Linked DNA regions of Drosophila melanogaster. The protein of the gene in region 2 purifies or fractionates together with the protein of the main gene of each other region. This does not show direct contact. Each region holds a gene or a part of one and is shown on either strand. Other genes may lie near its edges.

What was found.
Region 1: the proteins of Grip75 (region 2) and gammaTub23C purify together in Drosophila melanogaster (affinity purification with western blotting; 2 studies listed by BioGRID, with this or other methods). This does not show direct contact.
Region 3: the proteins of Grip75 (region 2) and gammaTub37C purify together in Drosophila melanogaster (affinity purification with western blotting; 4 studies listed by BioGRID, with this or other methods). This does not show direct contact.

The regions. Positions count from the first base shown.
Region 1 is NT_033779.5:2,970,942-2,975,948, forward strand, and holds gammaTub23C (gamma-Tubulin at 23C), read left to right. Parts: upstream 1-1,949; 5' UTR 1,950-2,117; coding exon 2,118-2,166; intron 2,167-2,224; coding exon 2,225-2,427; intron 2,428-2,487; coding exon 2,488-3,663; 3' UTR 3,664-3,917; downstream 3,918-5,007. Other genes in the region: Rrp1 (recombination repair protein 1), read right to left, coding at 1-113, 176-253, 315-1,356; CG9641 (uncharacterized protein), read right to left, coding at 4,237-5,007. UniProt on the Drosophila melanogaster protein: Tubulin is the major constituent of microtubules. The gamma chain is found at microtubule organizing centers (MTOC) such as the spindle poles or the centrosome, suggesting that it is involved in the minus-end nucleation of microtubule assembly.
Region 2 is NT_033779.5:10,480,392-10,486,357, reverse strand, and holds Grip75 (Grip75), read right to left. Parts: upstream 3,064-5,966; 5' UTR 3,001-3,063; coding exon 2,932-3,000; intron 2,875-2,931; coding exon 2,730-2,874; intron 2,672-2,729; coding exon 2,386-2,671; intron 2,325-2,385; coding exon 2,165-2,324; intron 2,105-2,164; coding exon 1,598-2,104; intron 1,534-1,597; coding exon 1,161-1,533; intron 1,105-1,160; coding exon 831-1,104; intron 821-830; exon of another isoform or gene 765-820; coding exon 626-764; 3' UTR 611-625; coding exon of another isoform or gene 568-610; 3' UTR 504-567; downstream 1-503. Other genes in the region: Cog4 (component of oligomeric golgi complex 4), read left to right, coding at 21-206, 277-503, 568-610; RluA-2 (RluA pseudouridine synthase 2), read right to left, coding at 3,439-3,513, 3,572-3,733, 3,784-4,073, 4,125-4,315, 4,375-4,595, 4,649-4,736, 4,788-5,010, 5,074-5,260. UniProt on the Drosophila melanogaster protein: Gamma-tubulin complex is necessary for microtubule nucleation at the centrosome.
Region 3 is NT_033779.5:19,182,773-19,187,557, forward strand, and holds gammaTub37C (gamma-Tubulin at 37C), read right to left. Parts: upstream 2,955-4,785; 5' UTR 2,881-2,954; coding exon 2,832-2,880; intron 2,763-2,831; coding exon 2,560-2,762; intron 2,452-2,559; coding exon 1,861-2,451; intron 1,802-1,860; coding exon 1,271-1,801; 3' UTR 1,091-1,270; downstream 1-1,090. Other genes in the region: CG46059 (uncharacterized protein), read right to left, coding at 420-563; pigeon, read left to right, coding at 3,357-3,420, 3,479-3,883, 3,947-4,248, 4,307-4,785. UniProt on the Drosophila melanogaster protein: Tubulin is the major constituent of microtubules. The gamma chain is found at microtubule organizing centers (MTOC) such as the spindle poles or the centrosome, suggesting that it is involved in the minus-end nucleation of microtubule assembly.

The DNA.
Region 1 (5,007 bases), 7.5 Mb from region 2:
TAATACGGCAGCTCCACCGCAGCCGGATTGCTCCGCTAACATACTTTTCGATCCACTCTCCTCATCGACATCGGGTTCTTCAGCCTTCGCAGCCGCCTTTTTTCGGCCTCGAGCTGCAAATAGAATATGATTAGCGTGGCATTGATATTAAAGTTATTGTTGACAATGTGCCCACCTGGTTTACTTTCCTCTGCTGCCTCCTCAATATCTTCGACATCCTCTGCCTTGACTGGAGCCTTTTTCCGTCCTTTAGCTGCGGATTAAAGATAGTTAATCATGGTTTCATCATTTACATTGATTTGACAGTTTCCCACCTGGCTTGGTTTCAGTAGAGGGCTTGGCTTCTTCTTCAACTACACCGTTTTCCTTATCGGCGGATTTCTTCTGCTTCTTCCCGGGTGCTGGCTCCTTGCCTTCCTTCTTAGCGCGCTGTTTAGTGGGCTTTGCCTTGGTCTTTGGCTCAAGTTCTACCGCAGTCTCACCATTGGTTGTTTTCTTGGCGCGTTTCTTGGGTGCAGCTGCAGTTTTTGGAGGCGATTCCACTTCTTCTTGTACTGATTGAAAATCTCCTACAGTCTCGGGCGATGGCTCAACCATCTTTCCCTTCTTTGCTCGCTTGCTAGCAGCCTTTGGCGGCACCTCATCCACTTCCGGCTCATCGAGAGCAGCTGCGATCTCAGAATCTGCCAAACGCTTGGTTCCGCGTGCCCGCTTGGCAGCTGTCTCAGCTTTCTGCACCTTCTCTTTGCTTATTGTCCCTGGTTCAGCTTGCTCCTTTAACGTTGGTACTGCTTCCTTTCTTGCCCGTTGTTTCGGCGGCTCTGCTGCTTCCTCGGCCCCTCCATTTGCTTCTGCCGGCAGCTCCTTTCGCTTCCGTCCTTTGGCCTGGGCATTCGTTGGTTTCTCAGCCTTAGCGCGTCCCTTAGGCGGTGAAGACGTCACTTCGTCAGGAGCAGGAGTGGGCTCTTTTTTGGCACGTGGCTTAGTTGCCTTTCCAGCTGGTAGATCGACTTTGGGTTCTGGTTCTGCTTCTGCAGTTGCCTTCTTGGCGCGTCCCTTCGGCTTGGCCACCACCTCCATCTGGCCGTTTTCGTCTGTATCCTTCGGCTGCTTCTTCTTGCCACGCGCGGCTGCAGTGGGCGCCTTTTGTGGCTCGACTTCCTCGGAGTTTTCCGCAGATACAGCCGTCTTGGTGGCTTTCCTCGCGCGCGGCTTTCCTTTTGCCGGCACCTTGAGTTCCTCAGCGGCAGAGTCTGCGTTTTCGTCGACTCCATTCCCATTGGCATTTGGAGTGGGGTCAGTGGGTTCAGATGCCAACGCCTCTGCTTGTTTTTTCACGGCCTTGACACGCGGCATTATGGAGTTCTACTGCTCGGACTGATAGGTTCTCAAAAATGACTTGTATTTACTTCCACAGATTTCCAGCTTTTTCTTTTGCTTGTTTTGCAGAGCCACTGTCGCTTGGTTCAGCACCCGATATCAACAAAAAGAAAACTGCGCGGGCAACGCGATTTTTGCAAGCCGGTCGGCTTGACTTTGGTCTGCTTACAACACTATTTGTGTGCCTTCCTTGGAAAAACACGACTGTGGAGCAAATATTGCACATTGTGACGTCACTAGTAGTACAAATAGTTCGACGTCATTAGTAGTACAAAATGGGTGGAGCTCAATAACCTAATTGAAAAACTTTCTTATAGAAAATTATATTCAAGTTAAGCTTAGTATTGAACTATTAGATTGATATTCATGACATGTTTCGATCTTTCTAACTCATAGTCTTAGATTTCCAACACTTTTTTGCCTTTCCAAAATACAAAGTAGAAAAATGTAATGTTTATTTTTATTTATTTAATTCACAATAAAGGTCTTAAGTAATCATATATATTTTATAACAGAGGGCACACTGCGCCACCTTTCAAATGAGGACGCCATTAAACGCTGCGGTGTTATCAACACTGGACTTTCTTAAAATTACAAAGTACGTCCCCGCTGTGGGATTTTTTAAAAATTTTGTTATAATTCGACGATCTTTTAGTTGTGTTTTATTTTATTTCGACTAATTCGACCTTAAACGCGAAACTTCACTTGACGATTCTGGCCGGAAACAACACACCACAATGCCAAGTGAAATAATTACTTTGCAGCTTGGGCAGTGCGGCAATCAAAGTAGGTTTCTGAAATCAGGACGAGTACCATCTGCATTGCTAAAATCGTTTAAACGCAGTTGGCTTTGAGTTCTGGAAAAGATTGTGCCTGGAGCATGGCATCTCCCCTAGCGGCGTGCTGGAGGACTTTGCCAATGATGGCTTGGACCGCAAGGATGTGTTCTTCTACCAGGCGGACGACGACCACTACATACCCCGCGCGGTGCTCTTGGACTTGGAACCGAGGGTGATCAATACCATAATGGGCTCGGTCTACTCCAAGGTGAGTCCTCTCTAAATAACTTTTAATTTTTTGCGCCAAACCTACTATTAACTCCCGTAGCTCTACAATCCGGAAAATGTGTACCTATCCAAGCACGGAGGCGGTGCGGGCAACAACTGGGCCTCAGGCTATAGCCAGGGCGAAAAGCTGCAAGAAGAGGTATTCGACATCATTGACCGTGAGGCAGATGGAAGCGATTCGTTGGAGGGCTTTATACTTTGCCATTCGATTGCTGGCGGAACGGGATCGGGAATGGGCTCCTTTATCATGGAGCGCCTGGCGGACCGCTATCCCAAGAAACTTATCCAAACATTCAGTGTGTTTCCCAATCAGGACGAGATCAGTGATGTAGTGGTGCAGCCATACAACTCCATGCTCACCCTGAAACGTTTGACTACGGCTGCGGACAGTGTGGTTGTCCTGGACAACACTGCTCTTAATCGTATTGCCTGCGATCGCTTGCACATTCAGAATCCCAGCTTTTCGCAGATCAACAACCTGGTCTCCACCATAATGAGCGTCAGCACCACTACGCTGAGGTATCCATCCTACATGAACAACAATCTCATTGGGCTGACGGCTCCTTTAATCCCGACGCCCCAGCTGCATTTTCTCATGACAGGCTACACGCCGCTGACTAGCGATTCGGATATCCATACCCAGCAGCTGGTTAATGTGCGAAAGACTACTGTTCTAGATGTAATGCGGCGTCTGTTGCAGCCCAAGAACATGATGGTGTCCACTGGTCCCGACAAGTCAAATCATCACTGCTACATCTCCATTCTAAACATTATCCAGGGCGAGGTGGATCCCACTCAAGTGCACAAGTCACTGCAGCGCATCCGCGACCGCAAGATGGCCCAGTTCATTCCCTGGGGCCCCACCTCTATCCAGGTAGCCCTTTCCCGCTCATCGCCCTACGTGCAGAGCAACCATCGAGTGTCCGGACTGATGCTGGCCAACCACACCAGCATTTGCTCGCTTTTCGAGCGAGCTCTCAACCAGTATGACAAGCTTCGCAAGCGCGGCGCCTTTCTTGACCAGTTTCGACGCGAGGACATCTTCAAGGACGACCTCAATGAGCTGGACGAATCTCGCGAAACTGTTGACTGCCTGGTGCAAGAGTATGAGGCAGCCACGCGTGAGGACTACATGCAGTTTTCAGTGAAGCGGGGAAATGGGCCAGTTGACTCCAAGTCGGAGGATAGTCGATCTGTGACCAGCGCCGGTTCCTAGTTCGCTTGTGCCAGAAGAAATGCGTGCCATGCATCTTAACCAATGTATTTTAAAATGTAATATTCTCCAATGACGATGGGATTCGAAATCCTTAAGTAGTAGTGATAAGACGATTGTTGGTATGACTCGCATGTATGTAAACGCTGTTTCGTCTTTTACGATATTTAACGTTCGTATTTCCATTGTTGCAAAATTACACATGAGATTTCCCGATCATGTTTAATATGTGACACATTAAATAAAAAACAGTTTTTAAATGTGGTAGTGAGTGTTTATTGAGAAGTATATTACATATTTCTTTGGTGTATTTTATAATATGAAATCCTTATGGTTAATGTCGACTTGAGGCAGTATGAACTGATATTGCAGTGAGAATTCACTTGTGAAGCTGCACGATACTGCTGTCCTTGTTCCGTTGTCATGTCATTTCGTATGTCAAATATGTTTAGGGTGTGTTATTCAGTTTAAAATGTTCCTATTGTATTGAAGAAGAAAAGAGTTAGATATATAAAGCACATTTTATAAATCAAGGAAGTTTTTCGTTACCATGAATCCCGTTACCCATCGGCTTGCTTACAAGGAGCATGTGTCTTCATTAACCACCTCAGCGTTGCAATTCTCTTCCTCCTGATGAGGCTCTTCGCACTCCTCGCCCTCCGCTTCAGGAGTGACCTCTACATCATTGCTCTTCTCGCCCGGCTCCTCTTCAATGAACTCCACATCATCGTGTTGCTCTTCAGCTGCCTCTTCCACCTCATCATGATCTTCAGTCATCTCATTCTCATTTTCATCATCATCATCTCCCTTCACTTCGTCCACAACGGTCAGATCAAGATGAGAAATGAACTCTTCGCCGTCCTCTTCGGTTAGGTCAATTTCAGATAACTCGGCGGTGGACCTAGCCTCTGAGCTGCGAACCGCCTTGAGGGCCTCCTTGCCACTTATCTCGCGGCAATTGAGCTGGTTAAAACGGTAGCTAAGGCAAAAGCCCTTCTTCTGCACCAGGTTGTAAGACTTACTGCCACAGCTTATTACTACCACCTTGCCATCCTTGGTCTGGCTTATACGGCCAAATTCCCAAGTCTTCGACAGAAGGTCGCTATTCTGGTCTTTTAAAAGTTGAAACGTGACCTTATCGGGCTCATCAGCTGAACGTGGTACTCTGACTGTGATTCCCTTTGTGGCCGGAATATCATCCTCCGGACAACAAATTAGTTTAGTTTCCGGTAACGCCGTGATCTTGGAAATCGCATGCTCCAGCCATTGGCGGGAGTTCTTGTCCATGCAGACAACTTGGATCATTCCAGTAAGAAATTGAATGCCCCCAAAATTGATGCTGGACTT
Region 2 (5,966 bases):
AATGCAATCTGTTTTTACAGGAGGAACTTGCTGCTTACGAAGCTGGGGAGACATTTGTCCAGTTCTTCATAGTGCAATTGGATGGACTACTTAACTCTTTTAAGAACTCGTTGAGTCCGCGCAACTATGATGCACTCGTTAGCATTTTGGCGACCGAAGTGACTATTCAATTGGAACGGGCTATTAAGAAAATCAGCTTTAATAGAGTATGTATCTCAGCAGGTCAAATTTACCTTGTGGAATTAGAATAATAATGGATTATGTTCTATTCAAAAGCTTGGCGGTTTGGTGCTTGATCAGGAAGTTCGTGCCTTGGGAAGTTATCTAACAGGAGCTACATCGTGGTCGGTTCGAGATAAGATGACACGTATATCCCAAATAGCTACGCTCCTCAATCTGGACAAGATTACGGAGCTATCGGAGTACTGGAATCCGGAGAATAACAAAGAGATGTCATCTTGGCATCTCACACCTAACGAAGTTCGCACATTTTTAACGTTAAGGTAAGAAAGTTTATTTAAAATATAACATTTTCTTCAGTTTATTAATCGTTTGTTTGTTTTTCAGAAATGACTTTCGTATAGAAGACATTAAGCGGCTACAACTTTAGGCAAAAACATCGTATTCATGCGGACGTATTATGACTGGCACTGAACCAACAATTGAAATCCAAACGCAAAAGCAGCTGCGAAAGCGGACCCAAACAAGAAGCTGATTTTACATCGACTAATAGTTGGATAAGGCTCGCAATTTGAACACCAAAACTATAAGAAAACAACGTTTTATTATTATACAATAATAACCCACTTATCCAAAATGTAAAGACATACCTTTCATTAAGTTGGTCGACTTCATCCTCTAAGTCATCAGACGGATCTTTCGTTTGGGTCATATGCGCAAACTTCTCACATATGCCAAAGAGTTTAAGAAGGGTTCCATAAATGGGATTTCGGTTTTGGCTCCCGGTGACATTCAATTGGGTCTCTGATTCGTTAAGCAGGAAGCAATGCGAAAGAACATTTGCCAGAAATACAGTGTGAGCCCTTTGTATAACTTCGAAATCACTCCTGCTCTTGATCACATTCATCAAAATTCCAAATTGACCTGTAACAAAATGTGAGTTATTTTCGATCAATTTCGTATTGCGCTCAAAAACTCACTTTCCAGCACATCAACTTGAATGTAATACTGCATGTTGTTCAGAAAGAACATTAGATAGTTGCGAAGAGTTATGATTTTGTTATTTGGAGGCACATCCTTTGCACTCTTCGCCCTCCAAGTCTGCTTGGCCCAGACCCTTTGTATTTCGTATTGATATGTTCGAATGATCAGTAAAAATCGGAATATATTGTTGTACCGCTCGATCGTTGTTGGGGAGAACAAAAGATTCAATGGCCACTCATACTCATATTTTAGACTGAGGCCTTGCAGAAAATTAAAGTCGGAGGTATCGTCTGGTTCAGACGTGCTTCTCTGGCAGATCAGTGAAAACTTGTCCAAGTCATCTGTGATTCCCGTGACAGTAGCTGCCAGCTGAGTATGAGTTAAAAATGTAAATCTAAAATACATATTTAACAACATTATGCGTAATTAGTACCTCAAATGATCTAGTGACGTTTTTAAAACGTTCTTCGCGATAAGTTTCCATGGTACCGACCATTTGGGAGCAGAACTCCAAGTAGAACTCTCCTCTGCCTAGCAAAAAGAAGTCCTTAATCAGTCCCATTTGCCGCTCCAGATCCACTTCGTTCACAGCGATCTCCGACAGCCGGGCGCTAACGTAATTCTTGATATCGATAATAACCTTCTCGAGGCGAAACACATTGATGGTGTCCTCGTTGCTCAAATCAACGACCATTTTGAAGAACTCGGACTCCCTGCCGCTCCACAGCTGATAGATATCATCTGAATCCAATTCAGCCAGTTTTGCCGCCAGTGGGTCGGTTTTGTTTTTAACTTTTACGTTGCGCCCCATTTTGAAGACCAGCACTGTTTGTCCCACGAACAGAACTTTTTCGGCTAAAACGATGGAGAAAAATCCTGGCAGCTGAGACATATTCACCTCATATTGCCATATGTAATCCTCGGGGTTTTTCTCTGCGCTCTGGATATAGATATGCTATTTATAATATAGGGTAAGGATAATCGCTTGTTAAGTTGTTACCAGAAGTGAGCAAGTGGCTGATTTGCTGAATGAGCTACCATCAACTGCATCCGTTGGGGTAAACTTAATAAAGAATTCCGAGTGGACATCGTCAATCACTCCAAACAACAGCCAGTGAGCCAGGCTGGAGAAAAATGCGTTCTTAACAGGCTTCATAATTCTGCATAATGAAGAGCATTTGGATTATGGAAACAAGGCGTTGTGTGTTGGCTATCACTTGCATCTTGATTGCTTTTTCCAGTTGAATATCGCCGTGCTCGCACTGCTGATGTAGATTGTGGAGCAAGACGCATCCTCGCAGATTCAGCACATGGATCTCTGTGATGAGATTACGCATGAAGACCAGAAGGGGGAACTTGGCGTACAGGGCATTGTAGACATATGAGAGCGAATTGCGCTCGTTACCCAAACAATACTTCTCCAGACGTCCGATCTCAGCGTAGTACTCCTCCAGAGCCATTTCAATGCCCTTGGCCAAATTGAGCAAGTAGTAACCATGCAAACTATCTGCGATAGAAATACACATTTGAAATCTTAAAAACACTATGCAACCTTCCATTTATACCTGGAAGTTCGCCATGTGTGTCGGACTTTCTTCCCGATGAATGGGTAAACTGCTCAACTTCTTGGTAAACCTTAATGATTTTTATAATGTCCATAAATATCTCCCGCTCGCAAGGATGTATGAACTGGTCAATGACTGTGGTTTCCTAGAAAGTTCGCTTGTAAGGCTTTCGAAATTATTTATTTCCAACGATTTTACTTACATTGAATGCCTTTATACCCAGCTGCTCCGGATTGTGGCTCCGGCAAGCCAATAACAAATCGTGTATCATTGTTTTGCTGCTTTAATTCGGTATTTGTATTTCATTTGCGCCAGATGTCCGACAGAGATGACACATATCCTGCCCCGTCCGTTATCGATAAGAACCAACTAATCGATAGAATTAGGGGCATTCCCTTCCCGCCAACTGATTGTGGTTTTAAATTTTAAAAATTCGCAGAACTGCAGTTAACTGAAACCACTGTGAGCAGAGTGTTCAGGTGAAGTTCTTGCAAAGTATTATCCAGGATAGTTGGCATCCTAGGACATCCACTGCACGACGATAAATAATACTCCACGAGGACATCCCCTTGCACCGCAAAATGATAAAGTAATTCGGCAAAGTAATAAAACAATGCTACAAATGAAGATAAAATGGAAACACAATTTGTTAAACTCTGTAAAAATATTTCTTTTTACTAAAGCGTCGTGTTTGCAATCAATTTTTCCTTTATACTTTATCGTAATCAATATTCGAATTACACGCCCATTCCGGCAATTCGGTTTCGTACTCCCAACCAACGCCCTGAAAATAAGATTTAATTTGAAATTAAATCTTTAAAAATGTATAGTTTGAAACTGACCTTGTATTTCCATGCATGCAAGTACATTATGAGATCCTTTGTGCCGGGGTCTCTGTAGTTTATCTTGCATTCAGAACATTGCGGATCCGAAGTTGTCTTCTTGGAATCAAAGGACCTGTCTGGTTCCTCATAGCACGTTTGGGTGGCAATCTGTGCAGTAGCCTATAAGCATTGTGTTCTCCAGACTTGTACAACTATTTTAAGTTACTTACATCGTTACTTGGTTCAAGGTTTTTTGAAATCACAGGCTTTTCAGTTTCACTATTAATAGGAGCCTGAACTACTGAGGGAGCCTCTACTACTGAAGTACTTGCTGCTACGTCTTTTATTTCCCCTGATACGATTTGATCTCCTTCCAAGCCCAACCAGTTTTCTGCATTATGAATGCTAATTAGGTTACTGATCAACTGTTCCTCGGTTATTCCACCGATATCTCCTCCTCTTCCTTTCAATGGACCGAAAACTTCATGGTTGTACAAAGGATCATTTGAAATGGGATAGCCTGTGAAATACGAGTGTTATAATTGAATGGAATTATCTGGTTGTCACTTACCCAAGAATTGTAAATGCACTCGTATTTGGTGCATTCGTCCTGTTAGTGGTTTGCACAAAACAATACTATCACTGCCCACCTCGCCGATTCTTTTAAATGTGGTCTTACAGTCCTTGCCCTTCGGTGAAACCTTACAAACACCTATTTTGTAGCTCACGACGTCGATTTTCTCATTGCATTCAACTATGCCACTACGAAAGATATGAAAAATAAGCAGATATATAAAAGATTAGATGCATTTTGGACTTACTCTGGAAAGCGTCCTTCAACGCGGCAAACGTATTCCTTTTGCACTTGGCGAGTTCGGATTTGCAGCTCCAATTCGCGGGCTTTTTCAGCAGTCCGTCCAAACAAAAGTAGGCCAGATGTGAGACGATCCAATCTGTGAATGGTTCGCAGGTTCTTCAGATTGTGCTCCTTGGCCAGGATGAAAACTACCGTGTTGTGTCTATATCTTCCACAAGGATGTACCTACAACATACGATTGTTATTAAATCAAATTCCTTCCAAATTAGTATACCTACCGGTATCGATGCCGGCTTATTCACAACCACAATATCCTTGTCCATGTACACAATCTTGATGGGCTGTGAAGTAACAGGGACTTCGTGTCTAGAATGCAAATGTGTGCATATTCAAATGAGATTTCCTGCTGATGCTTACCTATGCACCACATTGGCCAGCAGATCATTGTGCTTGATTTTATAGTCCTTGGGCACTTTCTCAGAGTTAACAGTCAATTTTCCCGCTTCCAGGCTGCGTTCATATTCCTCCGGCGGTGCGGCTCGAAATTCGCGGACAAATACATCCAGAATTTTCTCATCAACCCAACGTCCTTTGGCGAACGTGGTGAATGTGAAAAAATAAGGATACACCTTCCGCAGACCTATAGATTGCAATTTTATAACAGAATATCTTCTAAGTTGGTTTATTAATATGTTGGCCATACCATTCTCAAAATAATACGATGTTTCGTCGTATCTTTCATCGCTGAATCCAGGACGCTTCGTTTTTAGACTATTGGCCTCTAATTTTACTTTTTTCACATGCCCTTCGTCATCTGTGCTGCTAGCTTTTCGCTTTTCCGACAAAACTTCTTTTGATTGCGTTTCAGACTTTTCCTCTGATATGGATATCTGTAAGATAAACCACGACGGGTGGTAATAGTTTTTTAAAATATTTTCAGCTTCATTGAATGTCTTCTTTTTATTTTTGAGCAAAAACACCTTTAGTTCTTGCTTTAAACTGAACAATTGCTTACTATTTAGAAAATTCGTTTAGATTTGAGGAACTTCACTCTTGAAGATACAGAAAATACGAAAGCCTACCGTGCCAAAGTCATCATATATGTATCCTTATCAGCTTATCAGCTCTTAACACATTGGAGCCTTGTTTCCGGTGTTTGTGTGCAAACAATTCCTCGTTTTCATTCTGCAGCCCAAGCATAATTTTCAGACAGACTGTTTGTTTTTTCCTTGTTGCACACTAAAAGGAAAACAAAAACTACAAAATTGGCTGCGAACCAGTAGTATTTTGTTGGTTACTGGTCTACCAGCCAATATGTTCTAGCCAGGAAGCAAACATAGACAAAAGTCCATAATAAAACAGGTCTCTTGAGTTGTTTAAGGGTTATGCAAAGTTTAAAACTATAAAATACAAACATTTTTTATCATTTTTGTGCTGCCCTCCCTTCTCCACATCTCAAGTGCCATAGACATCATTGATTCTGCGTCGGTCCTCGTAGTTTCACGAAGCTCTACAGCAATTACCTTAAGAATTGCAATTACCTTAAGAATTGCAGTGACCTCTGATCCTGCAGAGATTATTCTAAAGCTGTTATCA
Region 3 (4,785 bases), 8.7 Mb from region 2:
TATCTCTAGAAGTTATGACAGTCAAGGAAACCACTGGCTTAATTTAAAACACCGAATTTGTATAGTGTCTGTTGACGGCAGCCAACGTAGTGACGAAGCGCACTGGGAGGATGTGCGAAGGCGACACGAAGTTGTCGGCAGATCATAAGATCAAACCATTCTCAAATTGCAAACGACTTTGCTCGCATTTGAATCTCCATTTTTTCCCCACGAAAATATAAATTTCGAGATCGGACTCGTCTCCAAATCAAGCAGGTTTCACCTTGAGTACGCTAAAGCACGGCGTCGAAATATAGAATTCATCTTTGACACAATCTATTAACATTTATAAAATTCGTTTATTGGGACATGTTGGGTATCTACGAGTGTTTCAGGTACAATATGGTTGAACGTGTTTCGGCACCTGGCACATCCCCACTTCAGCAACAGCCTCTTGGTCCGCAGGGCATAAATGAGCACTGGATGTAGGCTGGGGTGCAGGGTACACAGCAGAGTTCCACGCAGCAGTTGTAGCATCCGCCGCACGGATCGCAGCAGCGAGGTCCACAGGGTCCGCAGCACATGATCTTCCAAGTGAAAGGAAAGCTAAGAATTAATCATATAAATTGTTTTCACTTACGATTTTATTTTGTCTTGGGGAAAAGCGTTCAGGGTATCCTAATTTCCTTCTAAAAGGGCAGCTAAGTGGACTTTAAACCAAATTAGATTGTTCTCTATGCAATGTGAACTAAACACTTACATTTGGCCTATTTACAGAAATAGGATCTTAGAAACAACAAAATAGGTACCGGAAAACGTAAGACACAAACTATTTTCAAAGGTGTTAACACATCGAATTTTGGAATACGAATGGAAAATTCATTTCGCTCAGTCTGTTACGGGGAAATGTGAAGTGACATGAAAAATCAAAGCCAATATGACTATAAAAATGTACACATATCAAGATACATGTGGATGTGGAATTAGTGATTGTGTTGACCAACTTTAAACTAACTAACGAATAAGTAAATTTTAGTTATTGTATATCCTTAGTTGAATAAAAAACCCTTTTTTTCACACAAAAGTTGATATCAGAACTTTTGTGTGTTGAGGTGTGATCGTTACTACTTCCTACCTCGTTCAGAGTTATTTTTGCTTGATTTATGTAAGTTGAATCATTCCTGGAAACTTTTATAATTCCTAAATTGATTATAAAGTATTTTAAATACATATATTATTGTTGATAAAAAAAATAAAAAGTATTGACGGTTGAATTATAAATAATTATCGATTAACCGGCTTTCGAAGCTTCGACAGCAGGACTCCACTGGGGATAATCGATCTGGGTGGCTGCCTCATATTCCTGCACCAAGCAGTCAACCGTGTCCCGTGCGATGTCCAGTTCGGTCAGGTCGTCCTGGAACATGGATTCGCGGCGAAAGTTGTCGAGGAAGGCGTTGCGCTTCCTCAGCTTATCGTACTGGGCCAAGGCCCTCTTGAAGAGCGAACTGATACCCGTGTGATTGGCCATCATCAATCCGGATACCTTGTGGGCCGACTGCACATAGGGCGAGCTGCGCGGCAGAGCCACTTGGATGCTGGCCGGACCCCATGGTATGAAGTTGGCCAGCTTTCGCTCGCGGATGCGCTGCAGCGACTTGTGCACCTGGGATGGATCCACCTCGCCCTGGATGATGTTCAGTATGGAGACGAAGCACTGGCGGCTCTGCTTGTCCGTCAGCGCGGAAACCATCATGTTCTTCGGCTGCAGAAGGCGACGCATTACATCCAAAACGGTGGTCTTTCGAACGCTTGTCTTGGTCTGAAAGTGGTTGCCTCTTTTTATTTGCATTCCCATTTACATATGTCATATCATCATACCTCGCAGTCGGACATTAGCGGAGTATATCCCGTCATCAGGAAGTGCAGCTGGGGCGTGGGAATGAGCGAGGCGGTCAGACCGATGAGGTTGTTGTTCATGTACGAGGGATATCGCAGGGTGGTGGTGCTCAGACTCATGATGGTGGACACCAGATTGTTGATCTGCGTAAAAGTGGGCGTTTGGATGTGCAATCTTTCGGTGGCGATGCGGTTCAGTGCGGTATTATCCAGCACCACCACACTGTCCGCGCACTTGGTCAAACGCTTCAGGGTAAGGATCGAGTTATATGGCTGCACAACCACGTCGCTGATCTCGTCCTGATTGGGAAAAACGCTGTACGTCTGTATGAGCTTCTTGGGAAAGCGTTCGGACAGCCGTTCCAGGACATATGAGCCCATTCCGGACCCAGTTCCGCCGGCTATCGAGTGGCAGAGCACGAATCCCTCCAGCGAATCGCTGCCATCGGCCTCGCGGTCCAGAATGTCGAACACCTCCTCCTGCACCTTCTCACCCTGGCTAAAGCCGGACGCCCAGTTGTTTCCTGCTCCACCGCCGTGCTTGGAGAGGAACACATTCTCCTGGTTGTACAACTGCAAAGGGGAAACACATATCCATCTACATAGTTTTTTAAATGAAATACATAAAATAAAGTAGATTAGATCAGAATCCGATCCAATAAGACCAGTTTCCGCACTGACCTTGGAGTACGGAGAGGTCATGATGTTGTTAATGACTCTGGGCTCTAAGTCTATGAGAACGGCCCGCGGTATGTAATGGTTGTCGTCCGCCTGGTAAAAGAACACATCCTTGCGATCCTGTCCATCGGTGGCGAAGTCTTCCAGGACGCCATCCGGGGAGATGCCGTGCTCCAGGCACAATCTCTTCCAGAACTCGAAACCAACTGCGGAATGGAGTGATCTCGATCAAGCCGGAGCTTCTCTTAACTTCGATTTCGACGTGAAGAACTTACTTTGATTGCCACATTGGCCCAATTGAAGGGTTATAATCTCGCTGGGCATTTTGCTCGAATTGCAGTTTAGTTAATTTCGCTTCTTTCTCAGTAAATAATAACTGTGCATCGAAGGCCAACTGGAGATGGAAGTGGAAGTCATTAATATCGATATACAAGAAGTACAATACAACAGTAAGTTATTACCTATTTTTCTTTACTAATCTTTATGATTTATTTAATGTTATTGGACTTATAGAAAATACTTAGAATTAAGATTTGATCCATTTTTTTTTTAAATATTTAGGTTCAAATAAATTAGCCATAGTTATATATTTTTTATGTTTTCATTTACATAAAACATTAACTGTTATTTTTTTAAATTTAAAGGACTAGCTTTTTCAATTGTACAGCACACCCTGTGGCTGCGAGTAACGGTTCTCGGGAGTCGTTATTTTCTGAGAAGCGCGCAACGTGCACACTGGCAGGCTGATTGAAAAAATTCGTTGCAAATGTTTATGTACAAATATTGAATAAAAAATAAAAATGCTGCGGCAGGAGAACTTGGCAGCCAACTTCTGCGGTCTCCTGGCCAGCCAGGGCTATAAAGGTGAGTTCGTATTTCGCCAATTTACTCCGAGCCTCATGGATGTCCGTAAAAATCGCAGAGAAGGCAAACGAGTGGCGCATTTTGGGCCAGGAACAGGATGGATCTCTGCTCACGTCCTGGATATTCGAGTACGCGGACGAGGATCAGCGCAAGGAGACGTGCATTGGCCACTTTCACGCCACCAAGAAGCAGCTGCGACTCCTTTGGACCCTCGACAATTGCCGTGAGATCGTCCAGGCAACGATTAACAGCAGTGTCACATTGCTGTCCTTCGTGGAGAAAACTGAGGGCAAGCTCTATCAGGCCTTTGTCGTGGAGGTAAGGAGCTCCGAAGGTGGCACGGCCACGCCCCTCAACTCGGAGCCCTCCAACCGCCAGATGATGACGCAGTTCCTGTGGCGCGTCGAGAGTGCCACGCGCACCTGCTGGCAGGACAAGCTACTGGTGCTCACCCACGAGGAATGTAGGTGTCATGTATATGTCATTATCCACCTCTAACTCCCATGCTCGTACCTGTTTTTTCTAGCCATCAAGCAGTACAGCTGCGTGGTCAAGCAGAGCTCCACCACATGCTCGACTGGCGGAGGCGAGGGCAGCGCCTGGAGGCTAGACACCAGCATACTGACCTACGAAACGCTGGCCAGGAACTTTAGCTGGGCCCAGTGGGATCCCGAGTGCCAGGCTCTTTATTACATTCACTTGAAGCCGAAGGCCAAGAGCCTCAGTCTGCTGGACGAGAGGGAGGAGGCTGGCGAGCAGACAACTCCTACTTTAAGCCCCACGCTCTCCGCCTTTCAGTTTAACGAAAAACAGCCAACGGAAACAGTGGTAGGTACTTAAAGATTAAAGTATTACGTATAGGTGTAGTTACATCTTTCTATTGCAGCTTAATATACCCCTCAATTTGCCAAAGCTGCCCAATGGCTCCAAAGAGGAATCGCCAAGCTACGATGACGATGCGGTTCCCTTGCGCGTGCACGATAGTTCGCTAAATCTCATCATACTGGCGGACACCTCGGGCATGTTTTTCGTCTGTCACTACTACCTGTACCAGCCGATGCAGTCGGAGCAAAGGGATGTGCACTTTGCCTACTCGGTGACTTTGCTTCACCACGGCTATGTGGTGCACTGCGTCATGCCCGGTGTGCCGTGGCAAAAGGCCCGTCTGCTGAGGCCAACATTTGCGCTACACGGCCAGCATCACTTGCTGGTGTCGTCCGCCTTTTTTGTCCACCTCTTGGACGTGGGACTGCAGCACGAACCGAACTGCCATATCGTGTGTGCAGCCCACAATCGAAGTCCCGATATCACACAGCTGGTGCCTTTGCGAAAGTGGGGAGCTCTGGCTTATGATGCGGCCACCTT